7 linked regions of the Mus musculus genome follow. The protein of the gene in region 6 purifies or fractionates together with the protein of the main gene of each other region. This does not show direct contact. Links are inferred from orthologs where the notes say so. Each region holds a gene or a part of one and is shown on either strand. Other genes may lie near its edges.

Region 1 (4,018 bases), on a different chromosome or scaffold from region 6:
GACAAGATGGTGAATGGTGAGCTCTCTGGGTGCTGGGATTCCCCTTAAACCTAGAAGGTTGCTCTGACAACCACAGGGCCCACCCTCACCAAGCTAAGGATGCTTAGCTTACCTTGATCTTCATGGTGCTAGGAGCCAGAGCAGTAATCTCCTTCTGCATCCTGTCAGCAATGCCTGGGTACATGGTGGTACCACCAGACAGCACTGTGTTGGCATAGAGGTCTTTACGGATGTCAACGTCACACTTCATGATGGAATTGAATGTAGTTTCATGGATGCCACAGGATTCCATACCTAAGAGAAGAGTGACAGAAATCAGACTTAACTTGTACTATGGCCTCAGGAGTTTTGTCACCTTTAGATGGAGAAAGGACTAGGCTACAACTTACCCAAGAAGGAAGGCTGGAAAAGAGCCTCAGGGCATCGGAACCGCTCGTTGCCAATAGTGATGACCTGGCCGTCAGGCAGCTCATAGCTCTTCTCCAGGGAGGAAGAGGATGCGGCAGTGGCCATCTCCTGCTCGAAGTCTAGAGCAACATAGCACAGCTTCTCTTTGATGTCACGCACGATTTCCCTCTCAGCTGTGGTGGTGAAGCTGTAGCCACGCTCGGTCAGGATCTTCATGAGGTAGTCTGTCAGGTCCCGGCCAGCCAGGTCCAGACGCAGGATGGCGTGAGGGAGAGCATAGCCCTCGTAGATGGGCACAGTGTGGGTGACCCCGTCTCCGGAGTCCATCACAATGCCTGTGGTACGACCAGAGGCATACAGGGACAGCACAGCCTGGATGGCTACGTACATGGCTGGGGTGTTGAAGGTCTCAAACATGATCTGTAGAGAAAAATAAATAATGTTGTCAAGTTCAGAAAGCCACAAGAAACACTCAGGGCAGGTGAAACTGTATGGATAGATCTGAGACATGCAAGGAGTGCAAGAACACAGCTAAGTTCAGTGTGCTGGGAGTCTCAGGACAGGGGCTCCACTTAGACCTACTGTGCATCTACTCAATACACACTCCAAGGCCACTTATCACCAGCCTCATTAGCTTTGTCACACGAGCCATTGTTAGTACCTAAACCCACAGCACTGTAGGGTTTAAACACCTAGTCAGAAAGGCAATTGAGAGAAAAAAAGACCTCGTCTGGGAAAGAGCAGAAACTGCAAAGATCCAAGGGAGACTCAGCTCATAGAAGGGAGTCCTATGGGAGAACGGCAGAAGAAAGACAATTGAGAAAGGGCGTGGCTGAGAAGCTGGCCAAAGAGAAGGGTTACCCGGGATACTGACCTGGGTCATCTTTTCACGGTTGGCCTTAGGGTTCAGGGGGGCCTCGGTGAGCAGCACAGGGTGCTCCTCAGGGGCCACACGCAGCTCATTGTAGAAGGTGTGGTGCCAGATCTTCTCCATGTCGTCCCAGTTGGTAACAATGCCATGTTCAATGGGGTACTTCAGGGTCAGGATACCTCTCTTGCTCTGGGCCTCGTCACCCACATAGGAGTCCTTCTGACCCATTCCCACCATCACACCCTGTGGAAGGGAACAGCCTTCTTAGCACCGGCATCGATCCCCAAGAAAACCCCAGGCTTGCCACTCCCAAAGTAACAGGTCACTTACCTGGTGCCTAGGGCGGCCCACGATGGAGGGGAATACAGCCCGGGGAGCATCGTCGCCCGCGAAGCCGGCTTTGCACATGCCGGAGCCGTTGTCGACGACCAGCGCAGCGATATCGTCATCCATGGCGAACTATCAAGACACAAAAGAAGGCTATAGTCACCTCGGGGCCGCCAAGAGCAGCCGCTGCCGCCCTGCCCACTTCCGGCAAGCCGCGGGCTCGAGCCGCCAGGGGGCGCGCGCCCAAGCTCAGGGGACAAAGGAAGCGCAGACCGGCCGCATTATTACCATAAAAGGCAAACGCTGGCCCGGAGGCGGACCTAGGGCAGGAAGCCAGACCTCCGCCCCCTCCCCAAACGGGCGCAAGCTCCGCCTACACTGCGCCGACGGGCGGCTTGTGCGCGCGCGGGAGGCGACCACACCCAGCAGGAAGCGCAAACAAGGCGCCCGTGCCACTGTGACCCCGCCCCTTCCGGACAACGGCCCCGCCCTCGCCCAACCCCGGGCAGCCGCGCTCCCAGCCTCAATACGCACGCGCAGCTAACTAGGAAGAGGGGGAGAGGAAGAGCTCCCTCCCTAGCGCACACGCGCCTCGATGCCCAGTGATAGAGAGCGCACGCGCAGTGGCATCCCAGCCCCCACCCGGCCGAGCCGGCCCTGCCGCGCCCGCCCGCCCGCCCGCCCGCCCGGCAAGCCGAATAGGCAAACCGGTTTGGACAAAGACCCAGAGGCCATTGAGGCGTGATCGTAGCGTCTGGTTCCCAATACTGTGTACTCTCAAGATGGACCTAATACGGCTTTTAACACCCGCAAGCCGCACCGGCTCATCAAATGCCCACACCGCGACCCTAGTGTGTCCCCAAGCCCCACGCACCGAGCGGGAGCGGGCCCACGAGTGTCTACACCGCGGGAATGTGGCTGCAAAGAGTCTACACGCTAGGCGTAAAGTTGGCTGTGCCAGTGTCCGCTCCGCGGCCCGGCACCACCCTCCACCCGCCCATGGTGTCCGTTCTGAGTGATCCTCAGGACCCTGCAGTGAGGTACTAGCCACGAGAGAGCGAAGGCCCGCTGGGCCCGGCGTCCCTGCTTACCTGGTGGCGGGTGTGGACCGGCAACGAAGGAGCTGCAAAGAAGCTGTGCTCGCGGGTGGACGCGACTCGACAGTGGCTGCGCGTTGCGCCGCCGGGTTTTATAGGACGCCACAGCGGCCACTCGAGCCATAAAAGGCAACTTTCGGAACGGCGGGCGCTGATTGGCTCCGCGTCGCTCACTCACCGGCCTCGCCGCACAGTGCAGCATTTTTTTACCCCCTCTCCCCTCCTTTTGAAAAAAAAAAAAAAAAAGAAGAAGAAAAAAAAAAAAAGCGAGAGAGAAAGCGAGATTGAGGAAGAGGATGAAGAGTTTTGGCGATGGGTGCTGGCTCCGTAGGCCCAGATGTACAGGAATAGCCTCCGCCCTTGTGGACACTGCCCCATTCAATGTCTCGGTTACTAGGCCTGCATTCTGGGGGTCACCCAACCACCCCAGGACCCTCTGGGTGTGGATGTCACGTGGATATCGAGCACTTAAGTGGATGAGGGTCAGCATCGAGGCCCGGACCCTATTTGTGTGGCCTCTTGTTTGAGGGACACGCGGGGCCTGGATTGAATGGACAGAGAGTCACTCCCCCTTGCTAGCAATTGCTAGCAATAGCCGGAAAGCCAGATCCGGGGGGGCCCCTTCTGCTGTGGTTCTAATTTGCTAGGTGTGTTGGGGTTCAACTTGGAAGCAGAACTCTGGTTGGAGAGGTTTTCATGGATCTTGACCTCTTAGAGACTCAAGGCCATCCTATCCCAAGCATAGGGCGAGCCCCAGTGGTCCAATAACTGGAGGTGTTGCAAGAAGATGCCTCCAGATATCCCCTGCCCCGGATCTAGAAAGGAACTGTGCTCAATAGAACAAACAAAACTTCTCATGGAGTCAGGCACTTTTGGAGAACTGCCTGATCACACCCAGGCAAGACTAAGCCTGGGCCGTTAGCTAGTGTCTCTGGGTGACTGCCAGACATCGCTGGGCTGGGGCCCACCATCTATCCTCTATTTATTATGTGCAGCCACAGCTGAGTTGTGCACTAGTCCATCTGCCAGCCGTGGGGATTCTGGGAGTGACAAGCTGCTCAGGGAAAAGTTGGTGGTCACCGGAGCCCCAAATCCTCCAGAGAGAAGCAGCCCCTGTCCCCCTCACCTAAGTACCAGTGTTCTACTTAGCAAGCCAGCTATTTGGCTGAGAGCTACACACGGGGTCAGGGTTGAGGGCCGGATCCCTCAGCTTAGCTTAGAAGGACACGCACCTTCTGGGAGAGTGTGACAGAAAGCTGGATTTAGGCAAGAAGGGTGCTTCAGGTGAGATGCTCTGGGCCTGCCGTGCCTCAGT
Region 2 (3,977 bases), on a different chromosome or scaffold from region 6:
GTCAGTGGTACAAGAAAGGAGTGACAGGTAGCTCACTGTCTTTTCACTCAGCATTGGAATTCTTCTGGACAGTCTGCAGTAAGATGAGCTGGACAGCTCTATGCACCGTCTCACCCAGCAGTTGGAAGGTTGGAAACAGGAGATAAAGGCCAGATGTAGGAGACAGCAAAGTTAGTAGACTCCCTGATATTAGCTAAGTACTGGAGACTCCAAAAACTTCTGACCCTGTCATCAGAAATATACACTTGCAATCCTTTCCTTCAGACCTCAGGGTTATTCAGTTCATACTAGAAGGCCCCACATTAGGTAGATGTAGTCAGGAAAATGGATGGCATTGCTGAGGGGAGAGATCATATAAAGACCATACCCAGAGTACTCTTGGGCATGTTTGGTTAATGCTTGTGGGGAATCCTGGGTAAACACGTGGATGTCAGATTAATCTGTATAAATTTCTATCAATTATAAGTCACTGCAACTCCCAGAGTCCAAATTTCTTTAGTGGTGATACCAGTAGACTCCATGAGGAAATTGTGAGGATTTAGTGAGGAAAAACATGTCATGTTTAACATATGGCCTGGCCTATAGTTTGTGCCCAACATGTAGTAATTATTTAATTGCTGGTTAGGCTATTGGCAATAATTGGTTTGCCCATCTAAGAAACAACTAGAAAGCTAGTCTAGGATTCAGAGCTGGGCAATGAACTCCAGCTGGAATTGGCGCTGGCTGGAACTCAGTTCTTTCTACATCAGGTAACTTCTCACATTTTTCACTGCACAGGCATCATATACATAAAAACTGCATTATCCCACCAAAAAAAAAAAAAGCCTTAAATTTTCAACCAAGATAAAAGTGTCTCTACGATAAGCGTCCTGGTTCAGACAATAAAATTCTGGCTGGAGCATGAGATGGTCTAGCTTTACAGCCACGTGGGTTTCTGCGTGGGAGCCTAAAGGTCTACCCTGTTCCAACCGCCAGGGGGCGGTACTCCCCGCTGTGGCCTGGCAGAGCAGCGCCGCCCACTCTCTATCTCACCCCCCACACGTGGGTCCGAATGGTTAGGCCCGCCGGGCAGGTAGCGCGCTTCCGCGGCGTCCCGCCACCCCCCTCCCTTCCCCCATTGGTAGGGGCTGCGGGTCCGGGCGGAAGTGGGGCAGGCGGGCGGGAGCGAGGCGTCACCGTTGTATATTCATGAGGCGCGCGCAGCCCAGCATGTTAATGAGGCGGGGCGCGGCGGCCGGCTAAGAAGGCTGCTGGGCGGCGGCGGTGGTTGCTGGCTCGGGGCAGCCGGGCGCGAGCGGCGTAGACAAGGGGTCACTTGCCGGCGCTAACCAGGACATGGAGCCGTCCGGCGGGGGCCTGGGGCCCGGCCGCGGTACCCGGGACAAGAAGAAGGGTCGGAGCCCGGATGAGCTGCCTGCGACGGGCGGCGACGGCGGCAAACATAAGAAATTTGTGAGTGTCCCTCCCACCCTGCTCTTCAGCCTGGCGGAGTGGCCGCCCTCTGGACTCGGGCGACCCTCGCTGCCCTCCGGGGGCGTCTGCCTGCAGCTGGGGAGCCGCCCCCGCGCCTCCCTTCCTGGTTTTGCTGGCTCCTGGGCTTCGCGGTCCCACATTCTCCCCCTCCGGGACATCCGGCAGCCTGGATGTCCCACCTGGCCCTCGCCTCGGCCACCTTGGAGCTTCCCTCGCTGTTCAGTCCGCAGGCTCTGCGCTCCCGTCCCCGTGCCCCCGCGGGCTCTCAGTCCCACTTCCTTTCTTCTTCTGCCTCTGGTACCCCAACACGTCTTTTCTCTCTCTCTTTTTCTTTCTTCCTCTTTGCACCCCTGTAAGCTGTTCTAAGTTCTCTTCTCACCCATATCCCATTTGAGGTATCTTTTTCTTTTAAAAGGTCATTTCCTTTCTCACTAGTAATCCTTTTCACCTGCTAACTTTCCTCCCGCCCTGTCCCCTTCTGCCCGGTGTCACCTGGTAATGCTTCCCCTCAGGAATGTTACCTGACTTGAGTCTCGTCTCCCCTCCTTCTTTGGACGTTTGTCCTTGTGATTGTTGGTCACTGGGGCATGGCTGTAGTTGGCTTCCCTATCCACAAAACCTGTTTCTTTTTGCCCTGTTGCTTATCACTTCAGAGGGTTAGAACTTCTTTCAAGATACTATGCCCTTCATGACCCGAGATGGTGATTAAACCTCCCCCTTGAGGAGCGACTTAGACTTCAACTCCAATAAGTTTATGAGTAATTTAATTGCTTTTTATACACTTTAAAAAAAATAACCATTTTCTCAACTTATCCTTTACCATCTTCTGGGCCCCAAGGTTCCTGACATTCCTTTTCCTACCACCTGTAGGAGAGAGCGAATCTTTCCTTAGTGCCCAGTACTTCTAACCCCAGGCCGAGGGACTGTTGATGTTCATGTGAGCTGTTTTACTACCTGTTGCCGTTCCTAAGTCCTCTGTCCTCTCTATCCAGGGAGCTACTTACCTCTTACTGTAAAAGCTTTGAAAGATACCAAGGGGGGGGGACTGGGGGGGGGGAAGAAGAGAAAGAAATAGTTTCTGTGTAACTATTTGCCTATTGTTAACTAGATATTTAGTTTGGCCTTCCAGGTAACATAGTAATCTTTTTGACCAACTAAATGGCTTATAGCTCTTATGCCTCCCCCTACCCCCAATATTCTGATCCAAGTCCACAAGTTTGGGAAGTAACTGATAAGTGATGGATAATGGGAAGAAAGTGTTTGGTGACCTGCAGGGTTCAGAGCATATTATTCTGAATTAAAAGAGTGACTCATCTCTTCCTATTTCTAGCAAGACCAGGTGCTCCTAGTCTGTCCTTTCCAGTGACATACAGGGTGTCAGTAACTGTTTGATCCAGCAAGTACTATTGTAGAAATAGGATCCTTTGGCGACCAGAGCAGTATATCCTTAGGTTCTTTCTTTAAGGGTAATAAGAATTAGTCTTCCAGTCCGAACGTTTTCCTTCCACAACTTTCCTTCTATAGTGTAAGTTGTAGGACCTGTATTTCTTCTATTTCTGTATTTTTTTGTTTTGATTTTGTTGCCATGGATACTGTTTGACCTTCTCCATCCAAACTCTGGCTATTCTTGCTGATTTGTGATGACCTCTGTGACTTGTTACTGTTTGCTTTGTTTCAAATTTTATATGTGCTTCTTAATTAGATCTAACACAGTGTTTTATAAATTGGTAAAAATCTACTTAAGTAAACTCTCCCTGTAAGGCGAGAATTCCCAGGGAACCCAACTTCTTTTCACCTGTTTTTTTTTTTTTGGCATGTCACAGAGGCTTGTGTAGCTGAGTGGATTTGGCCCAGAGTTGTTATTTGCTGTACAGAGGGTGGAGCTGAACCTAGTTCTCTTTTACTGAGGTTCTGGTTTTAACCCTTACCTTGACTGAAGTTTTGAAAGTAGGTAGTGCAAGCTATGAGAGTTGGACCGCTTCCAGGAAAGCCGGCTGCTTCAATTCCTAATTGTCAACTACAGTCTCCCTTCAGGCGTGAGGATAGTCTTTCTCACTGCTTTTTATGAGAGCTATGAAAGTGGGAGACAGGGAGCCTTGCAGTCTTCGTCTCCTTGTCCCTGTGTGTGCACACGTGTGGGAGTGGGTGGAGTGGGTGAGATTGCTGGGGTGCTTCTGTTACCCCGGCTCCGGTTCCCTGAATTTACTGGCTAAATCCAAACTCAAAGCTGTTTCGCCTACTCCACCTTTCCTCCTGTGCAGTATCCGCCAGCACGCCCATTCTGAGTGTGCTATAAAAACCCTCGGGCTTGGACTAAGGGTGCTTGAAGCTTTGTCTTTGAGTGGTTGCAGCCCCTCAGGCTGCTTGCAACCACACCTTTCGGAGCGGGTGGTTTGCATTTGAAGGACTGCAGTTCATACCTTTCTGGCTTATGCAGATTCTAAGTCCAGGCAGCCCGAAGTAACAGAGCTTATCTATTGTCTGGGATCTGCCCTTTACCCTCT
Region 3 (4,058 bases), on a different chromosome or scaffold from region 6:
GTTGCTGAAGAGCAAGCATCGCAGGGCTGCCTAACATTCCTCAAGCTGCGTCCTCTCAGGACAGAGGCTGCCTCCACAGGCCTCAGAACTGTAGCTGCTCATCTACTTTACTCTCTGTGGCATGAAGATGTCTTCAGTGAGATTGTTTTAAATAAAAAGGAGTTGACAGGGGCCACAAAACAACAAAAGAAAATGGAGTTAAAATGTTTGTACGTTTGCAAGGTTTTTACGAGTTTGTGAACACCGTTTCAGGAGTTTGTCCCTCGGGTTTGCTTCTGGCCAAGGACACTAAAAATTTACCACTAGGTGATGGGCAGAGACCACGACCTGGCCTCACCTCACCTCACCTCAGCACTGATATTTCAGTTGACTCCATCTACTTTCACTGTCCACTTCCTGCTTAGAAGTACAGCAACAAACGACTGTAAATATACCACTCCACTCCACTCGCCACCTGCAGTGTGCACAGGCTCTTGTCCATGCTCTGCCCTGAGTTTATTTGCAAAAGGGCTCCACCAGTTTTCCTGAGCACACATTTCAAAATACACTCCGACTAAGAAAGTTCCCCATCCTCCACCTTGGCGGTGGGATTCTGGGATTCTGAGACTCGTGAGCTAAGGCTTCACTCACAGTCTCTAGTCCCATCGTCACTACAGCAGTAGATACTTCCCTTCAAGCTGGAGACATAGATACCCAATATACAGTCTCTAAACTAGTGTTCTCAATCTGGGGGTTCAACAACCCTTTCACAGGGGTCACCTAAGACCGTGGGAAAACATTTACATTATGGTTCACAACAGTAGCAAAGTCAGTTGTGAAGTAGCAAGGAAAGTTTTACGGTTGGGGTCACCATAACAGTTGAGAAACTATTTTAACAGGTCACAACATCAGGAAGACTGACTGAGAAGCACTGCTCTAGACTATGAGAAATGATCACATGACAGTTAAACTCTATTTCTTCACGCCTGCATTCGATTAAATGTTTCCCTATCTGAAGATAGTCTTTTTACAGACTGTGAGGCCCAGGACTCTGTCCCAGGCAAGCTAAGCTTTCCAGATAGCCTGCTTCCTTAATTAAGGACTTCAGCCTGGGAGGGTTTGTTGTAGAGAAACATCTGCAAGTTTCCAACTTCCTTGCCACCACTAAAGGCCTTGTCCAGACTCGGCCTTGAGGACAAAGGTTAGGTAGGTCACAGAATGACTATCCCCAGTACCATCAACAATGTTGTCCGCTGTGAAAGGGCGTTCTCAAACAAACCTTGGAGGCACTTCATTTTAATTTCGGGGATTTCTGAATGTTTAAGGTGAAAGTGAACTAAATGTAACTGCGGGCCTTAACTCAAAGTTTGAGCCGGACATACAAAACCGAAATACAAAGGCCACAAGCTTAAGCAACATTAAATTAGAACCAAGAAAGCAAGCTCTTTCCCGGGACGAGGAGAGACTGCACTGAGACATCTGCAAACCTCAAGTAAATAGCGAAATGGCTTCCTAAATCCCAGACAAAACGCTTCACAACTTGGCCATGTGAAAAACATGAGGCAGACTTTATCAAAGGCAAAGCTGCCGTCTCCTCAGCTTGCTGTCTGGTCTAAGCCACCATTATTCATGGCACAAAGCTCTCGTTTCACTAAAACCACTCCTCGATTTCCTCTCGCCGACCTCCGCATACCAGCAGCCCAGCCGCTCTCCATTCAGAGCTCAGGCCCCGGGAGGGGGGCTGCGGGGGGCGCGGGGGAGGGGAGCCCACAGATGTCTGGAGACCCGAGCCCGAGACAAAGCTGCCCCGCAGCCAGCGGGCTCACCGGAGCGGGCCTGGGGTACCGAACTTGGGAGCGTCGGTTCCAAGTCTGGTCCCCCAAACAACACTCAGAACAAGTCGCCAGGCTCCCACGCCCTGGCGGTCCGCGCTCCGGCCACTCCGTCTCGCTCAGAAAGCAAACGCGCTGGGGAGAAACACTTGGAGCGGACCCCACACTTACTGGCTAAGGGCAAGTCCCCCTCCCCCAAGCCCAGGTTTCGGATCCCGCGCACCTCCCCCCCCCCCCGCCTCCAACACCAGGAGTGGCCGGTGACTCGTCCACGGTCCCAAATTCCCGCCAGGACCTCGGCCCCGCAGCCACCAACCCCACGCGAGTCCAAGAAGCCACCCTCCGAGAACACGCTCCTGACGCATCCCGCCCGCTGCATCCAAGTTTGGCGACTCCACGGCTTAAAGTTGTTTGGATTCAAACTCACAGTCAGGTCGTTGCAGGGAGAAAAAAAAATTTGTCTGTGCGTGCTCCACGAGGGACAGAGGGGACGAGCGCCAGGTCTCGCGTCCCCCCGGCTCCGCGGGCCACGGAGGCGAGGCCCCCGCCCACCCCGCCCCCGCGGCGGCCCCAGCCCGGACGCGAACCGCGGTCCCCACCCCCCACGGCGGCCAGCCGTCCATCCGGGCTCCCGGCGCGCGCCCGCCCGGCCCCGGCCCCAGCCCGCGCGTCCCCGCGGCCTCCCGCCGCCACCCGGCCCGCGAAGTTTCCCGCTGGCGCGGCGCGAGCCGGCCCGCCGCGGCGCCGCACCTCAGGCCCGCGCGCTGCTCACTCGCGGCCGCCCGCTCGGCCTCGGCCTCCTGCACTGACGGCTCGGCGCCCACCGTGCTCCGTCTCCGCCTCCCCGGGCCGCGGGCTTCACAGGACACGAGCTGACGCGGCCGCCACCGAGCGAGGGCTTAAGATGGCGCCGCACAAGGAGCGATTTATAAGCGGCGCGGCACCGTGTATCCTGCCGCTGCCGCTCCGCGCGGAGCGTTCCGCCGCGCGAGGACGAGGGGCGGGGCGCGGGCGGGCCGGGGAAAGTAGTCCCCGCCAGTCCGAGTCGCTCTGCGCGTGCGCCGCCGGGAGGGGCCGAGCCGGGGCGGGGCGTCCAGACGCCGCTCCATTGGAAACTAAAGGAATCGAGAGCGGGCCGCCGCCGCGGGCCGGGTGGAGTGCGGCCTCGGACGGCGCAGGTTCGAGGCTGCCATCACCGGTGCACCGGCCGCCACACCCCTGAACCACCATTGGACCCCACCACACTTTACCGCTCCCAGGAGTGTCCCGCTTCCCTTCCCGCTGTGCCTCTGGAATCCGGACAGGGAACCTGGGGCCCAGCCACCTTTCCTCCCCACCCCAGGAGGCCTTGGAGTCCCCAAGAGTGTCTGCGAACATCTATTAACAAGTGATTCAGCTCCACCACTGCGTTCACCAGCGTGATTCCTAGAAACCCCATCTTACCCAGACTCACTGGGTCAGTAGAACCAGGCGTGGGGACCAAGGACAGCGATTTTTCTGTATTGTTTGAGAAACTCGAGTGTGTTGCTGAGAGGACCTGTGGGTAACCTCTTAAATTTTCAAAACTAATTTTGTATCCTTCGAGAGCTCCCCCCCCCCCAAATCATGACAATAGGGTGAAGTTGGATCTTCTCTTGGAAATGGCCCCATTGTTGTCCTTCACGATTGGCACTTGTCAAAACTGGAGCAGTTGGGGTGAATTGGCTGTCTCCAGCCTATTATTCTGAGCTCACGTCTCTTCCCAAACAATGGCAACAGGGAAAGTTGCCCCACTGCCTTCTTTCATCCCAGCGCTGTAATTAACGCAAGTAAACAATAGGTCCTTATGTACAGGTACTGGCAGGAAGCCCATGCATCACTGAGGCAGGGCCGGTGCTGTAGGGCCAGCTTAGTTTTTAAATGACTCAATTTTCTATCTTAAAGACATATCACCGTAACTCTGTGAACCACCACAGTCCACCATGCTGGAGCTGCTCAGTGAGGGCCTTTGTCTAGACCTTTCCCCTCTGCAGCTCTGCTCGGATTTCCGGAGAGTAAACTCTGCTGCTGGCTGGGGCTGACTTGGCCTGCCATAACTCAGAGAGATAGAGCAGGAAAAGGTATTTTACCAAAGCCCTACCAGTGGTGGTTGCAGCTACCAACCCCTAATTTTAATTGTCACATGCAGAGTTAAAGAATATTTGGTCGATTCGTTTAAAATTAGATAGCTGACTTCACCTCTGTCCGGGGTTTCCTTTCTTTTCTTTT
Region 4 (3,157 bases), on a different chromosome or scaffold from region 6:
TTCAGCAGCCGTCAGTGTTTATAACAAACCATAAATGCCCCGCGCTCCACCAACAGAAACCTGAACAGCAGCTTAGAGTAAATCTGGCCTCCCTCTGTTTTCTTATCTATTTATCTGACATGCTGGAGCTCAAAGGCAGGGCTTGGAGAAGCGTTAAGGGCGAAAACCTTGTGCATAGAACTATTAAGACAACTGCTTGCAAGCTTTCTGGGCTCTGCAAAGACTACATAAAAACACAGTTTGCCATGAATCACTTTTTCTTTAAGGAAAAAAAAATTATTCAACTGAAGATTTCCATAATGACTTATTACAGGAGAATGTTTACAAGGCTTTTCTCCCTGAGAAGAAACTATTGCTTCATTATTCACAGTTATACAAAGTGTATGTATGTGTGGTGTGTGTGTGTGTGTGTGTGTGTGTGTGTGTGTATATATATGGAAAAACAAAGTCCTTTAACATGTGTTTATCTAATACTTTTTTGTTTTTTGATAGCATGTCACTATGTTCCCTGGTGGCTAACCCGGAACTCACTATGCAGATCACAGGGTCACTGAGCTCACAGCAACTTCCCTGCCTCAGTGCCCAGTTCTCAGTTTAAAGGCATACACCACCACAGCTGGCAGTTATCTAACAGTTAATGATGGACACAATCTTAGAAGTGTGTCCATTAGGCAACTCTCTCTTTTTTTTAATATTTATTTATTTATTTATTATATGTAAGCACACTGTAGCTGTTTTCAGACACTCCAGAAGAGGGCATCAGATTTTTTGTTATGGATGGTTGCAAGCCACCATGTAGTTGCTGGGATTTGAACTCAGGACCTTTGGAAGAGCAGACTGCGCTCTTAACTGCTGAGCCATCTCTCCAGTCCTAGGCAACTCTTTTGTCGTACAAACATGAGCTGTACTTAAACAAATACAGATGATACATTTTTCTGCACATACAGACTCCATGACAAAGCATTACTGCTCAGCCACAAACCTGTACAGCATGTTACTTTGCTGAATACTGTAGACAAGTGTATTACAATGGTAACTGTCCCTGATTAAAAACAGGTAAACAGAGGCTCGAGAGAGCACTGTCCAGTTTTTCAGAGGTCCTGAGTTCAATTCCCAACAACCACATGGTAGCTCACAACCATCTATACAATGATCTGATGCCCTCTTCTGGCATGCAAGTGTACATACAGATAAATTACTCATATACATGAGATAAATCCTTCAACAAAAAGATTAACATAGGAAAGAGATGACGAAGAGACCAAGTGGCAGAATTTTAAATCCATGCTAATTGTATGGTAGCAACCTTGTTTATGTGGTCCATTTATGACTGAAACACTCATGTAGCATGAGTGCAGAACCAAACACTGTTTCTTACAATCACTAGGAAACATTAAAAAGAATATATGACAGTACTTGAAGGTATAACAATTATATATACAGGAAAGAAATTTATCAATAGCTGTAGCATTTATTGGCTGATAGAGCCAATAAATAAGTAAGTAAATAAATAAATGCCAATCATTTTTGACCTTTACATGATATGTAAGTTGCCCAAATATTGGCTTTGAATTTTTGTATACAACACACAATATATCATATTTGAAAAATCAGATAATCCTTCCAAAATAAAATGATTAATGTTTTCATCTTGTTTTTTTGTTGTTGTTTTTTGTTTTTTAAGCAATGTCTTATGTATCCCAAGCTGGCCTCAAACTTTCTATATAGCCAAGGATAACCTTGAATTTCTGATTCTCCTGCCTATGCCTTCCCAGCGCTGGGATTTTGTCATATGTCCCCAGGCTAGGTTCTAGGCGGTGTTGGAGACCCAACCCAGGGCCTTACAGACACTAGCAAAGTATCATACCAAAGAAGCCATACATATTCAAACAGACAATCAGCATTTGCTATAGTCTATCGCTGCCCTAGACTTCACTGACAGCCTACAGATTCATAGGGACAGAGAAACAGAAACCTTTAGCTTTCCTCATTTGTTAGGTTGAAGAATGTACACAAACTCTTACCCTAAGTCCTCGATGCTCAGTGGAGGTCCCGAGCCTGATGGATTCCTGAGCACGAGTTCCTGTAACTTTGTGTTCTTCTCATCTTCAGAAAGACTTTTATTGCCTAGAATCTGGCGCCTCTTAATAGCAAGGTCTTTAATTTCTTTTAAAAATCTGGCTCTGTGAGGATTTACTAGTTCAAAATCTTCCCAAGTTAAAATCCCATTAAACCAGGCTGGGGGTTTGGGCTTAGGGGGATCGAGGATAAATTCTGATTTTGAATCCTCTTCAAAGCTTCCCACTGAGAGGGAGTCATGGCCTTCTTCTGTAGAAGCTTCCGACTGACTTTCAGTACAGTGCAAGTCTCTGTCGCCGCGGGACTCATAGATTAGTTTGCTCATATTGCTTTTAATGTCGCCCATGCACATAAGTTTAAAGAAAGGCTTAGAGATAGGCAAGTCCACCAGTCTATTGTCCTGAATACATTTGGCCAAGAAAATCCCAAGGAAATGGAAGAGTTTTGTGATCCTTTCAAGCTCATCACTGTCCTGTGGGAATGGCGCTGTGAACAGTCCACATGACCGCTGTACATAGTATCCTGGAGGCTTCAATCCACCTCCAAGATCAACCTTCACAAAGGAAAACGACACATTAATACATAGCCAAGTAAATAAGATAGTAACCAAACCTCCCAACTGCCATACAAAAGAATCACAAACATCAAACATCTTTTCAAATTTTGTCATCTGAAGATGCATGCATGTTAATTAATTTGGAAACCAACTTTAATCCTTTAGAAATATATATATATATATATATATATATACACACTTTTTTTTTGTTTGTTTGTTTTTTTTTGTTTTTCGAAACAGGGTTTCTCTGTATAGCCCTGGCTGCCATGGAACTCACTCTGTAGTCTAGGCTGGCCTTGAACTCAGAAATTCCCCTGCCTCTGCCTCCCAAGTGCTGGGATTAAAGGCGTGCGCCACCGCGTCAAGCTCCTTTAGAAATATTTTAATGGCACTAAGGTTATTTAGTTATAAAAGTAGAGGCCAACCTGGGCAAATATTAATACCCTGTCCCCAAAAAACAATAACTAGGGCTGCCAACTGTCTAGCTGGGTAAGAGCTACTACCATTAAAGTCACCTGAGTT
Region 5 (3,500 bases), on a different chromosome or scaffold from region 6:
CACAGTGGGTGGCCTCTTCTCAGGTGCTCACCCACATCTGCTTCATGCTCTAGTGTGGAGTGACATGCCAGGGAGATTTGCAATTTGTGGGTTTTGTTCTCTTTTGAAAGACGTATTTGTTTTTTTTTATGTACGTGAGTACACTGTCAGTCTCTTCAGACACACCAGAAGAGGGCATCAGATCTCATTACAAATGGTTGTGAGCCACCATGTGGCTGCTGGGAATTGAACTCAGGATCTCTGGAAGAGCAAACAGTGTTCTTAACTGCTGAGCCATCTCTACAGCCCTTGTTTTGTTTGGTTTTTGTTTTCTCGCTATGTAGACCCGGATGGACTGAAACTCACTCTGCAGACCAGGCTGCCTCACACTCAGCCCAACTGTGCCTCAAATAACATGTTTAAAGGCATGCACCACCATGCCTGGCCTCACGTCTTTATAAAAATTGCAAAACAAAGGTAAACAGGCTTAAGCCCAAGAGGCCTGGGGCCAGCCGCACTCACCCTGGCTTGTGCACGATGTCTCTCAGCACTCGTACAGCATCGTCGTTGCTCATGTTCTCAAAGTTCATATCATTTACCTGAAGGGAAGGGGTGGTGGGTCATGGGCAGTGTGGGAGGGGCAGAGCATCCGCCCCAGCCAGCAGCCAGGCCGTCAGCGCACCTGCAAAAGCATGTCTCCAGGCTCGATCCGCCCGTCCGCAGCCACCGCGCCCCCTTTCATGATGGAGCCGATGTAGATGCCCCCATCACCACGCTCGTTACTTTGGCCCACAATGGAGATGCCCAGGAAGTTGTACTTCTCTGTGGAGGGGGGCCATATGACTGAGCCCCAGAAACCCCAAGCCCCTCTCTCTCCTTCCCTTCTCCCCGTCAGGACCCTCCATACCCATGTTGAGCGTGACCGTGATGATGTTGAGAGACATTGTGGAATCGGTGACACTGCTGAAGGATGAGGTCTACAGCGGGGAGACATGAAAGGTGTGAACTGCTCCCCGTCAACAGAGAGAGAAGCCACAAGCTTGTGTTTCAACCAGAGCCCACTTCATCCCAAAAGAACCCTCACCCTCTCCATGCGTGGCGGCCGCTGCTTCCTTCGCCTTCGGTGGCGCTTGAGGAGGCGGGAGGCACTGCTCTGCTCAGTGGAGCTGCTGAACCTGATAGCAATTGAGAAGCATAGCATTTGGAGGTGGAAGTGGTCAGGGAGCCACATGAAACAAGAAGACTGGCTGGGGGGGAGGGGGAGGGGAGGAGGGGGGAGGAGGGAGGGAACAGGGAGGGAAGTGTGCAGCCATACCTACTCATGGTGTCATCCTCATCCGAGTCTCCTAGGCTGGTACTCTCCAGCTCACTGGTCATGAGGGTGGAAGAGCTCTCGTAGCCAGCCAGGTGGCGCTCCAGCCTCGAGGGGCCACCAGGCCTGTGGCCACCAGCTGTGTATAAACAAGAGACTCAGGAGCCAGGCCTCCCCTTCTTCATACCCAGCATGCTAAGGCTTGCCTGTCTGCCCAGCTCAGTCTACCCTGCCTCCAGGGTCCATCCCCTCACCGCCATGTTCACTGCTGTCTCTCCTCCTAGGTCGGTCTCGCCTCAGTGATACGACAGATTCGGTCTCTGTCTCAGGCTCTAGATTTTCATGGCTGCTGGATACATTAGGGCTACACAGGTAGAGAGAGTTTCCAACCAAAGTCAGTCGGACAGAGCACCGGAACCTCAGTCCCCCTCTCTCAAGAGGTCTAGACTGAATTCCCTCTTCGCTCCCATCCCCTGGACTCAAGAATATAAAGGACTCACTGGAAGGATGGAGGCCTTGAGTCCCCAATTCCACTGGTCCTTTCTGGTGGCAAAGGGGGTAAGGGTGGAGGCGGAGGAACCAGTTCTGTCCGAGACTCATGGGCTGGGGGAGCCACCTCAGGCTGTGGGGTATCTGACGACACAAGCTAGAAGAGAGCACGTAAGAAAACATGGTTCTGCTGGGGAGCGGTGTACGAGAAGAAACTAAGGAAAAGGACCAGAAAAGAAGGACACAGGGTCCTGGAGACCTGGGTGAAGAGGCCAGAAAAAACAATCCAGTACGGGAGGCTATAGGAAGAGGAGGCCGAGGAGTGCTCACTGTATCCACATTAGAGAAGAGGGAAGCCAGGCCACCCGCGACTGAGCAGGGGGGAGGCTGCAGAGACAGACTGAGGTTGGAAGCAGCTCAGTAATGAGTCCCCTTACCCAGGAGACAACCCTTCCATTGAAGCAAGGTAGGCGGGCATTGTCATCGGAGATCTCTTCCTTCACCACCCTGCGGAGAGAGCAGAGTGATTAGTAAGGTGCCAGGTGTGATGGGGTACACCTTCAACTAACACTTGGGAGGCCGAGGCAAGAGGCACTCAGTGAGCAAGGGTTTCTCTTGCGCGCACACACACACACACCACACACACACACACACCCTAGATGGGCGGTGGTGGTGCATGCCTTTAATGCCAGCACTCTGGAAAGCAGAGGCAGGTGATCTGAGTTTGAGGCCAGCCTAGTTTACAGAGAGAACCAGGACAGCCAGGGCTCCACAGAGAAACCCCATCTGGGGGTGGGGGTGGGACAAACACGGGGATGGGGGAGATTAGTAAAGCTAAACTAGTCACTCCCATTCCAAATCTCATTCCAAGTCTCTCCCCATCTCCATCCTGCCCAAGCATGGTGACTTGCTGCCCTGACTGACACGTCGTCTGCTTTTCCCCTAATGTATATGTACATGTCTGTGTGCATGGCTGTCACATGAGGGTATTTGCAGAGGACAGGAGAATATTATCTCCCCTGGAGCTAGTTACAGGGAGTCAGGAGCCACCAGTGGGTGCTAGTGCTAAGAACAGAACACAGCGGCATCCTCTAAGCCAACTGTCTATAGACTTCTGCCCTTTTTTTTTTCAGCAGCGGTAGCGACGACCAGGCTGGCTTCAAACTCACAGAGAGCTGCCTAACTCTGCCTCTCCATCCTGGTATTAAAGGCATATGTCACCAAACTTGGCTATGCCACTCAGCCAGCATGCATCACCATGCCCAGCTCCTCTGCTTTCACAGTGAAGTAACTTGCTTTTATACACAAATAAATAAATAAAAATTCTAGACTCTCTCATTTACCACTACCCCAACTCATCCTTAGAGGCACAATGCCACTCCAAAGACTTCTTCCCATTTGATCCAAACCTCAAAGTACCACTCCAAAGTCCCTTTGGGACAGTTCCCACAACTGCTCCAAATATCTAATTTAAGAGCCTGGCTGGCCGCCTAACCATCTCTGTCCTACACATCTGTCCCATAAAAGCCTCTGGTCCTCACGGAACCTGCTGCCTTTGAGTTCTCTCTAATTCACAAGCAGAGCCACCCAAATGTGTGGCTTTTCTGGGTAAAAAATCACCCTTACATGCAACAATAACAGTCCACGTGTGGAACGCTCCCATGGAGCGAGGAAGCTGGGCTTCCCAATTCCGGGCCACCTCACCTCACTAAGCAATCTG
Region 6 (4,239 bases):
TGGACAGTCAAGATACGCATACACACAGGGACAGCACTAGCTGAACTTAGTGGGGTTTTTTTATTTTTTATTTTAGAGAGCCTAGGGGCTGGAGAGATGGCTCAGCAGTTAAGAGGATTGGCTGTTCTTACAGAGGACCTAGGTTCAATTCCCAGCATGCACACCACAGGAAGGCTCATGAGTTATAACTCCAGTTTCAGAGAATCAGACATTCTCTTCTGGGCTCTGCAGGTACCAGGTACACACATGGTGCACAGACATTATGCAAGCCAGTAAATCACCCAAACACATAAAAGAATTTCCTTAAAGAAAAAGATCCAGGTGTGATAACACAAGCCTGTAATCCCAGCATTTGGAAGGCAGAGGCAGGCAGATTTCTGAGTCCAAGGCCAGACTGTCTTAAACAGTAAGTTCAGGTCAGCCAGAATTATACAGTGAGATACAGTTTCAGATAAATCACTGGAGGGAAGAGATAGGAGATAGATATGATCACATTTCATTTTTTATATTATGAAATTCTCAAGGAGTAGACTCAGTGGTCAAGAGTCAAAACTGCTCTTGCAGAGGTCCTGAGTTCAGTTCCCAGCAACCACATGGTGGCTCACAGCCATCTATAATGGGATCTGATGCCCTCTTCTGGTGTGTCTGAAGACAGCTACAGTGTACTCACATAAAATAAATAAATAAATAAATCTTTAAAAAAAAAAAAAAAAAAAAAAAACACATGCTATGTGGGGCTGGCAAGATGGCTCAGCGGGTAAGAGCACTGTCTGCTCTTCCAAAGGTTCTGAGTTCAAATCCCAGCAACAACATGGTGGCTCACAACCACCCATAATGAGATCTAACATCCTCTTCTGGTGCGTTTGAAGACAGCTACAGTGTACTTATTTATAATAATAAATAAATCTTTGGGCCTGAGTGAGGGGTTGATCAGAGCGAGCAGAGGTCCTAAAAAAATCAATTTCCAACAACCACATGAAGGCTCACAACCATCTGTACAGCTACAGTGTACTCATATACATAAAATAAATAAATAAATCTTTAAAAAAGAAATTATCAAGGAACCAAAATTTTAAGTGTTTTAAATATATATGTACTACATTTTCTTGTAGCTTCAAGAGGCATCAACTATAGTCTATCCTTGTTGGTCACACTCTCCCCTCTCTTCATAACCGAAGCTCCTGGACTACACAGTTTACACACATGCTCCTACTCTAGCCCAGACCCATCCTGTGATCACCACTATTTGACAGCTGAGGATACTGAGGCTGGAAGAACTCAGTCAGAGGGCTAATCAAGGGCCTTTGCAGCCCACCTGACTCCAGGGCCTGTGGACTTTACCTTGTAGCCATCTGCCTTCTCCACTGTCTTCCCAAGGGATAACTCCTTGGGAAGGCAATCAGAGCTATTCTCACTCTAGCCTGGGCTACTTCGGGAAATCCTTTTTACTTTTCTCCTCTCCCTTTCAATTCCACCTCTGCACTTCGATGCCCTCGGTTTTCCACGTACAGTAACCCTATGTTCTCCAATACCATATTTAGTTTGTGTCTGCCCTCTCAAAGTCATGTCTTGCTCACCCTGCCCCACACTGCATCCTCCAAGCCTCTGTTTAAAAGTCAGCACCTACCTTCCCATGGCCTTGTTAAGTCCCTTCTCTTCACCCCCATTACTCTTTATACCCAGTTAGAGTTAGTTCATGCATCGTTTATCTTTATTGCACCTTATTGGTTTTTTTCTTGGAGCTGAGGACTTGCACTTGCTAAGCAAGCACTCTACCACTGGGCTAAATTCCCAACCCCTCATCTAATTATCAATCTCTGTACACCTGTCTCTTTCTCGGACAGGTTTTGAAGGCACTGTTTGATCTTTTTCATCCCTAATTTCACAAACGTAGCACACATTATAACACTATCCAATGCATAACTGGATGTGTTAAAGTATCCTTTAAGAAAGTACTTTTCCCAAAACATAAAATCTAAACCTGGGACTCAAAGGGATCCTCTTGTAACTACTATCCCACGTACAGCTGGTTAGTTTACTAAGGTTGCAGGGATAGTCACAGAAAATGAGGAAGTGGGGGGAGCCGGTTTGGGTGTGTTTATGTTTTAATTTTACTTTTGAAATGCTAAAGAAAGAACCCAGCAGGAGAAAGCATAAGCTGCTTGCCTAAAACTGCACCTCGCAGCTAGCCTGAGGCTGCGCGGGTCTGCGCCCTGGGTCACCCTCGCAGGCAGCAATCCGGGCAGCACCTTCCCACCACGCCCGAGCAGAACCCCTGGGTCCAGTGCCCAGGACACGCCCTGCACAGTCAGTTCTCCTGCCACCTCACCCTAGGCCGTCTTCCCCAATCTCAGTAGAACTAACCGGTGGAGGAGCTGGGTGGGGCTCCCCTGCCGCAGCGCCTAGCGAAGGCAGAGGCCTCCAGGTTTCTACCCGCCGCCTCCGGAGCTCGAGAAGGCTCGGGCGCCAACCTTGCTACCAGCCATACAGCCAGCTGCTCTTCCGGGTCCGTGCGGTCCCAAGCCACCCGGCGCACCCGCCCGGCTGAGCCCCTGGGAAAACCCGAGCTTGGTCCCTCGCCCGCGCACCCCCAAGCCCTCGGCACTCACAGCCATAGTGCGGCCGGACCACACCCAGGCCATCAACCTCCTCCGCGGCGGACATGGCGGCCGAGTCCAGGTCTCCGGTGAGGAAGCGCAGAGACCTTGAAGACGCGGGCGACCGTAGCAGCAGTAACTCCTGCCCAGTGCGCGGGCTGTCGCTGTCCTCAGAGCCCCGCCCCGCGCCATCGGCCCCACCCTGCAGGTCCCGCCCCGCAGACCCCGCCCTTGAGTCCACGCCCAGCTGCGCTCCCCGGAGCGAGCGGAAGGGGCGTGGTCAGTATTACAGGACCCGCCCCTGCCCTCTTCGCTCTCCACTTGCGGAAGCGAGGAGGCGGGGTGCTGTAGCGAGTCCCTAGGCCGGCTTGGTCCGTTGTCCCGACACTCCTCCGCTGTCGCCCTATCTGCGGCTCTGACTAAAAGGCCGCCAATGTCTACAGCTTGAAATCCAAATGTTTTTAGGCGCCTGCCTTCTCCTGACAACTGAGTTAACCCCCTCTGCACCGCGGCTCCTTCAAGGAGCCGTTGCAAGTGGCCCAGAGTGTGATTATTGGAAGCAAGTAGGACCCACTGTCAGGAAAGACTCCCACTCCTACTCTCTGCTACATTCTGTCAATCTGACCTCTGTTCTCCCCAACAGTGCTAAAGAATAGAACTGCTCAATCTCTTAAACTGGGGGATGACGATGCTCACGCGGAAGAGCTGTTTATCAGCTCTTTACAATCTGCAAGATCTTAGGGGGGTTATCTTGACCCTATTAATAAGGATGCCTCGTCTCTTTACCCTTGTGATCTTTTAAAGTGCCAGTATTCAACCGAATTCTATTCTGAACCAGCCTGGATTGGAGTGAATCACTGGCTCTAATAATAATAATAATAATAATAATAATAATAATAATAATAAAGTAAAAGTCCCATTCTCAGGACTCTTACCCTCACCATAAACAGTTGATGGCTTCTACTTACAATCCAGACCATCTAGAAGCCCCTCAGTAGTTCCAAACTATCTAACGTGCATTTTTGGACCTCTCACAGACACTAAAACCTGTCAAACGTTGATCCTGTTCCTGCCCCACTCTCTGGAAGTGTTCCATCACCAGTCACACACACACCCCAGGTTCCTCGACTCACCTCTATTTCTGAAGCATCTAGTTTTGTTTCTGTCCCCACCTGTGATAACACTTTTTTGATCATCATAATCTCTATTCTCACTTGTGCCAACCAGATCATCATGATTGCCAGCATGCTCTTTCCAAAGTACGGAGTTCTTTGGGAAGGGGGACAAGTCTCACTATGTAGTTCTGGCTGTCCTGGAGCCCACTAAATAGGCAAGGCTACCCTTGAAGATCCACCTGTCTCTTCCTCCTGATTGCTAGAACTAAAAGCATGTGCCACCACACCCAGCTTCCGAGTTCTTGTCATAGATGTAATTTTTCCTGTTACTCCCTTCACAGTGCAGTTTGTGTACTTTCCCATGCCAGGTGGGCACCTTTACAACCCAATTCCAGGCTCTTTGTTCCAGCCATTTTCAATTTACTAGCTCTTTCCTTACAAACTTTCTTCTTAGTTGGGCATGTTGAGGCACGACTTTAATCCCAGCACTCAGGAGACAATAGCAGGCAGATCTCGGTGAGTTCAAG
Region 7 (3,952 bases), on a different chromosome or scaffold from region 6:
CAACCTGAGTAATTTGGTGAGCACCTGTCTCAAAAAGTAAAAAAAAACAGTACCTCTGTAATAAGGGCTTGCCTGGCTTGCCTGAGGCCCTGGATTCAACCCAGCACTACATAAACTGGAGTAATCCCACCACTCTAGTGGGCAGTAGCAAGAGGTGGAGATAGGAGAATCAGAATGTAAGGTCATTCTTGGCTGGGATACTGAAATCCTATCTTGAAAGAAAGAGAGAGAGAGAGAGAAGAAAAAGAGGAAGAAGAGAAAGTTGCTGGCTAGAAATGTAGCTCAATGGCCCAGGCAGAACCCTGTATTCAACGTTCAACACCAAGAAGAAAACAGAAACCCCCACAAAACTCAAGGCTCCTCTCACCCTCGTTTTTGGGGTTCCCCAGGACCTTGAGCACCTCGGCGTTGGTAGGGTTCTGGCCCAGGGCCCTCATCAGGTCCCCACACTGGCTGTACAGGATCTTGCCATCACCTACTCGGTCAAACAGCTCAAAGGCCTCTCTGAATTCTGAGATGTAAGGAGAAGGCAGTGTGACCAAGGATCCCCATCACCAACAGAGAGAGGGAGGTTTGCTTCAGAAATTCATGTGCTAGAGCCAGGCATGGGAGGGAGGAGAACAGGACAAGTGTGGGAGGTTTCAAGGTCAGGACTGTCGTTAGAACAGAGAATCTGACCAGGAGTTTGGGGTTTGACAATGGGGCTTAGGAAATGGGCTTCTCCTCACCCTCCAGCTGGTCCTTGTTAAACTCGATCTGTAGGGGACAAAAAGGGCAGGTGAGGAGATGACAGGGCTTATTCAGTCCCTCTCTATCACAACCAACTGGCAGCCACTTCTGGGGAGGGACCCAAAGGGATGAAGGCGGGGAGCCGGGCCACTTCAGTCCTGTCCCCAGCTCTGGGCCTTGGGAGAATCCCAAGAGGAATTACAGGGGGAGGGTTTCTTGGGAACAGGGTTAATCCCATGCCACCTGTTCCCTTCCCTCCTGCTACCCCGAGTCCTGCATCCCTCACATAACTGGGGGCTGAACAAAGGCTAAATTTACCCCTGCCCCCAGCTGTGATTGTCTAACAAGCCTGCCCTCTTCAGTCTCCCCTCCTGGGGTTCAGAGATGTAGCCTTCTGAGTTGAACAGAAGAGCCAGAGGCAGACAGCACCCCTCTCCCTTCACTTCGGAAACTGGCCTGACCTGGGAGCCCCAACCTCATTCCAGCGTTCATTCATTCCCTATCCTTTCCACATATTCCCGGATACCCAAGGCTGCACCGCATCTCTGAACTATCCCTTCCAGATTCACACTTCCCCAGGACTCACCACCACTTTGGAGAGATCAACAGGGGGCTCCTGGGATTTTGCAGGTGCCTGGGGGGCAGCCGGCTCAGCCTTGGCCTTGGCTAGAGGGGTCCCTGGTGTAGACTTGGCAGCAGGCTTAGAGATGGAGGGCCCTGCTGGTTTCTTCACGGGAGCATCCTTCTTGGGAGGCATGATGTCAGGTGGCCAAAGAACAATGTGCTGATGGGGGCACCCATCTCTGTTTAAATAGGCAGGGAGTCTGGGATGTCAAGGGGCGGGGGCAGCAGCAGGGACAGGGAGCCAGTTGGCAAGGGTGAGGGGGAAGAGACTTATGCCTGTCTGCCCTCACTCCCCTGGCCTCCTATGGTTCAGGACTCCTGCCCCCAAAGTTTTCTTCCCTCTGATACCACTCTCCTACAGCTGAATAGAATGTTTTCTTTAAGGGTACAGAGAAGAAACACGAGACCTGTCAGAATAGGGATTGTTAACCTCCAGGGTGAAGATAGGATGTTTGCCAGTGATTCTGAGATAGGAGCTAAGGGGAGAAAGAAGAAAACTAAAGTAGAAAAACAAACAAAAACTTGCATTAGTTTTAGACCGTGGGAAAGCCCAAGCAAAGCAAGGGCTTGGGGTGGAGTCGGGGTAGAGGGGTGGGGGGCTGGTATCAGGTGGGAAGTTTTAAAATCTGTTCTGGAAACAGTAAAAGGTGAGAGGAGGCCTTTGCACTCCCTTCTGTCTTTTCCCGTATCCTTAGAACTTGTAATCCCTGGGCCCCCACCTACCCCCAACCTTAAACTATGCACAGTAACTCGAGCGTGTTATTACCCACTGACTTCTATACCTAATGTTGGTTTAGGGGTTCCAGTGTAGGCAAGGCTTAACATCTGTCACACATAATTCCAAAGAAGGAACATTTTTCAACAAGACAATGTTATTCAAATCAAACAAAAGGCTATAATGCCTAGTGAGCATGGAGGGAACACACACACACACACACACATGGAGGGGGCCCTGGGAGACAAAGAGCCCCCTAATAACCCAAAAGGTTACAGGACCTCCAAAGGAGTTCATAGGTATCCACACGGACACACCATTGGTCAGGATCACATCAAAAACCTTAGCTGAGCTTTGAGTCACAAACCTTGCTGGAAGCGCTGATGAAGGGAAAAGATGATGTTTGGGAGCTAGGAGGTTCTGGCTACTCTGTTCTTGGATAAAGAAGAATTACATGGCATTCTGAGAGACTGGTCATTCCACTTAGGCCCTGGAGTTCGCAGAGTAGCAGTGGGTCTCCCATTTGCAAAAGGGCGTCAGAATCTTTTTACTGCAAATTGTCCCATTTTTGGAAAATAAAGAATCCTTCCTAAACAAAACGCCCGTTTCCCTCACTTTCACTCACTCCTAAGCCCTAGAGAGGAAAAAGACCCTCCCAGCCCCTCAAAACTCACCTTGCCGGGTCCGAGGAAGGGGCAGGTGGGGGGCGGGACTCAGGGCAGCTCCTGTCCCTGAAGGGTTAAGTGCGGCTGCCGCAGAGCATGCTGGGAGTCGTAGTCCGCGAGCACCCGCAGGCTCACAGGAAACCTTTTCCCAGCCGTGAGAGTTGGTGGTGACTTCCGGCCCCTGGTGACAGTTGGTGACTCAGGTCCTGAGGCGTGCGCCGGTTCCGGAATTGAAAGGGCCTGAGCTGTCCCCACCCATGACCCTGCGGCTGCAGACCCACAGACGCCCGCAAGGCTAGGGGCGGGGCCGGCCCGGGCGGTGGGAGGGGCCGGGCGGTGGGCGGGGCGGCAGCGGGGGCTTCCTCAGGCTGTTAGCTGCGGAATGGTGTAACTTGGCAGAGTTTTGCGTTTTATTTATTTATTTATTTATTTATTTATTTATTTATTTATTTATTTCACATTTGATAGTGGTCGAAAGACTGACTGAAGTAGATGTTAAGATTTACAATTTAGCCTGGCCATCTGCTTCCACTCTCCTCCTTGTGGAGGCGTCTGCTGAGGCCGCCAATGCACCGCGGTCTCCCCCCCCCGAGATACCCAACAAATGCAACGCTGGGCTCTGCAGTCCTTCTTTACCTTTCCGACACCATTGCCCAGCCTGAGTATTTGCACTTTCTCCCTGGAGTTTAGCAAATGTCTGAGTGCAGAGAGGGAACCGGCCCACCGTCCCGAAACAGACGAATAAATAACTCTGGCGGCGCGCCTCATACTAGAGCTTGTGCAAGCAAGTGGACCAGAAATAGCTCAGGGTAGAAGACTCCCAGCGGCGCCATAGGAAGAATGAGGCACAAGCCAATTTTGTACCCTGAAACGGACATTCCCCGGCTGGAAAAAGCTTGAGTAAAAAGGTCTGTACGGGTGCAAGGGATGTAGCACAGTTGGTTGCACAAAGCTCTGGGTCCCAGCACTCAGGAGGTGGAGACAGGAAGAATCAGATGTCTTTGGGACGTAGGGACTTCGGGCCAGCCTGAGCTACATAAGATCCAGTTTCAGAGCAGAAAGGGAAGGGACGCCTGAGAGCTTGTCTTAAACTAGAAAGCAAGAACAAGAAAGCAGTCTTGGTGATAACACAAATGTAATCCCAAGTCGGGGGGTGAGGGGGGGGGGGGGACAAACGAGCCTGGGCTATACAGTGAGACTCAAAACAACAGTGAATAAG

What was found.
Region 1: the proteins of Iqgap1 (region 6) and Actb purify together in Homo sapiens (affinity purification with mass spectrometry; 4 studies listed by BioGRID and IntAct, with this or other methods). This does not show direct contact. The link is inferred for Mus musculus from reciprocal best matches to the Homo sapiens genes IQGAP1 and ACTB.
Region 2: the proteins of Iqgap1 (region 6) and Diaph1 purify together in Homo sapiens (affinity purification with western blotting; 3 studies listed by BioGRID and IntAct, with this or other methods). This does not show direct contact. The link is inferred for Mus musculus from reciprocal best matches to the Homo sapiens genes IQGAP1 and DIAPH1.
Region 3: the proteins of Iqgap1 (region 6) and Ctnnb1 purify together in Homo sapiens (affinity purification with western blotting; 3 studies listed by BioGRID and IntAct, with this or other methods). This does not show direct contact. The link is inferred for Mus musculus from reciprocal best matches to the Homo sapiens genes IQGAP1 and CTNNB1.
Region 4: the proteins of Iqgap1 (region 6) and Hectd1 purify together in Homo sapiens (affinity purification with mass spectrometry; 3 studies listed by BioGRID, with this or other methods). This does not show direct contact. The link is inferred for Mus musculus from reciprocal best matches to the Homo sapiens genes IQGAP1 and HECTD1.
Region 5: the proteins of Iqgap1 (region 6) and Dvl2 purify together in Homo sapiens (affinity purification with western blotting; 3 studies listed by BioGRID, with this or other methods). This does not show direct contact. The link is inferred for Mus musculus from reciprocal best matches to the Homo sapiens genes IQGAP1 and DVL2.
Region 7: the proteins of Iqgap1 (region 6) and Myl6b purify together in Homo sapiens (affinity purification with mass spectrometry; 3 studies listed by BioGRID and IntAct, with this or other methods). This does not show direct contact. The link is inferred for Mus musculus from reciprocal best matches to the Homo sapiens genes IQGAP1 and MYL6B.

Annotation. Positions count from the first base shown.
Region 1 is NC_000071.6:142,903,955-142,907,972, forward strand, and holds the start of Actb (actin, cytoplasmic 1), read right to left. Parts: upstream 2,801-4,018; 5' UTR 2,698-2,800; intron 1,739-2,697; 5' UTR 1,733-1,738; coding exon 1,610-1,732; intron 1,523-1,609; coding exon 1,283-1,522; intron 829-1,282; coding exon 390-828; intron 295-389; coding exon 113-294; intron 1-112. UniProt on the Homo sapiens protein: Actin is a highly conserved protein that polymerizes to produce filaments that form cross-linked networks in the cytoplasm of cells.
Region 2 is NC_000084.6:37,932,677-37,936,653, reverse strand, and holds the start of Diaph1 (protein diaphanous homolog 1), read left to right. Parts: upstream 1-1,177; 5' UTR 1,178-1,335; coding exon 1,336-1,452; intron 1,453-3,977. UniProt on the Homo sapiens protein: Actin nucleation and elongation factor required for the assembly of F-actin structures, such as actin cables and stress fibers. Binds to the barbed end of the actin filament and slows down actin polymerization and depolymerization.
Region 3 is NC_000075.6:120,932,142-120,936,199, reverse strand, and holds the start of Ctnnb1 (catenin beta-1), read right to left. Parts: upstream 2,801-4,058; 5' UTR 2,562-2,800; intron 1-2,561. UniProt on the Homo sapiens protein: Key downstream component of the canonical Wnt signaling pathway.
Region 4 is NC_000078.6:51,746,380-51,749,536, forward strand, and holds part of Hectd1 (E3 ubiquitin-protein ligase HECTD1), read right to left. Parts: intron 2,633-3,157; coding exon 2,025-2,632; intron 1-2,024. UniProt on the Homo sapiens protein: E3 ubiquitin-protein ligase which accepts ubiquitin from an E2 ubiquitin-conjugating enzyme in the form of a thioester and then directly transfers the ubiquitin to targeted substrates.
Region 5 is NC_000077.6:70,003,592-70,007,091, reverse strand, and holds part of Dvl2 (segment polarity protein dishevelled homolog DVL-2), read right to left. Parts: intron 2,288-3,500; coding exon 2,218-2,287; intron 1,938-2,217; coding exon 1,792-1,937; intron 1,656-1,791; coding exon 1,546-1,655; intron 1,431-1,545; coding exon 1,295-1,430; intron 1,155-1,294; coding exon 1,064-1,154; intron 957-1,063; coding exon 887-956; intron 802-886; coding exon 662-801; intron 579-661; coding exon 502-578; intron 1-501.
Region 6 is NC_000073.6:80,800,532-80,804,770, forward strand, and holds the start of Iqgap1 (ras GTPase-activating-like protein IQGAP1), read right to left. Parts: upstream 2,801-4,239; 5' UTR 2,665-2,800; coding exon 2,610-2,664; intron 1-2,609. UniProt on the Homo sapiens protein: Plays a crucial role in regulating the dynamics and assembly of the actin cytoskeleton.
Region 7 is NC_000076.6:128,495,886-128,499,837, forward strand, and holds the start of Myl6b (myosin light chain 6B), read right to left. Parts: upstream 2,801-3,952; 5' UTR 2,743-2,800; intron 1,533-2,742; 5' UTR 1,487-1,532; coding exon 1,316-1,486; intron 757-1,315; coding exon 729-756; intron 512-728; coding exon 368-511; intron 1-367. UniProt on the Homo sapiens protein: Regulatory light chain of myosin. Does not bind calcium.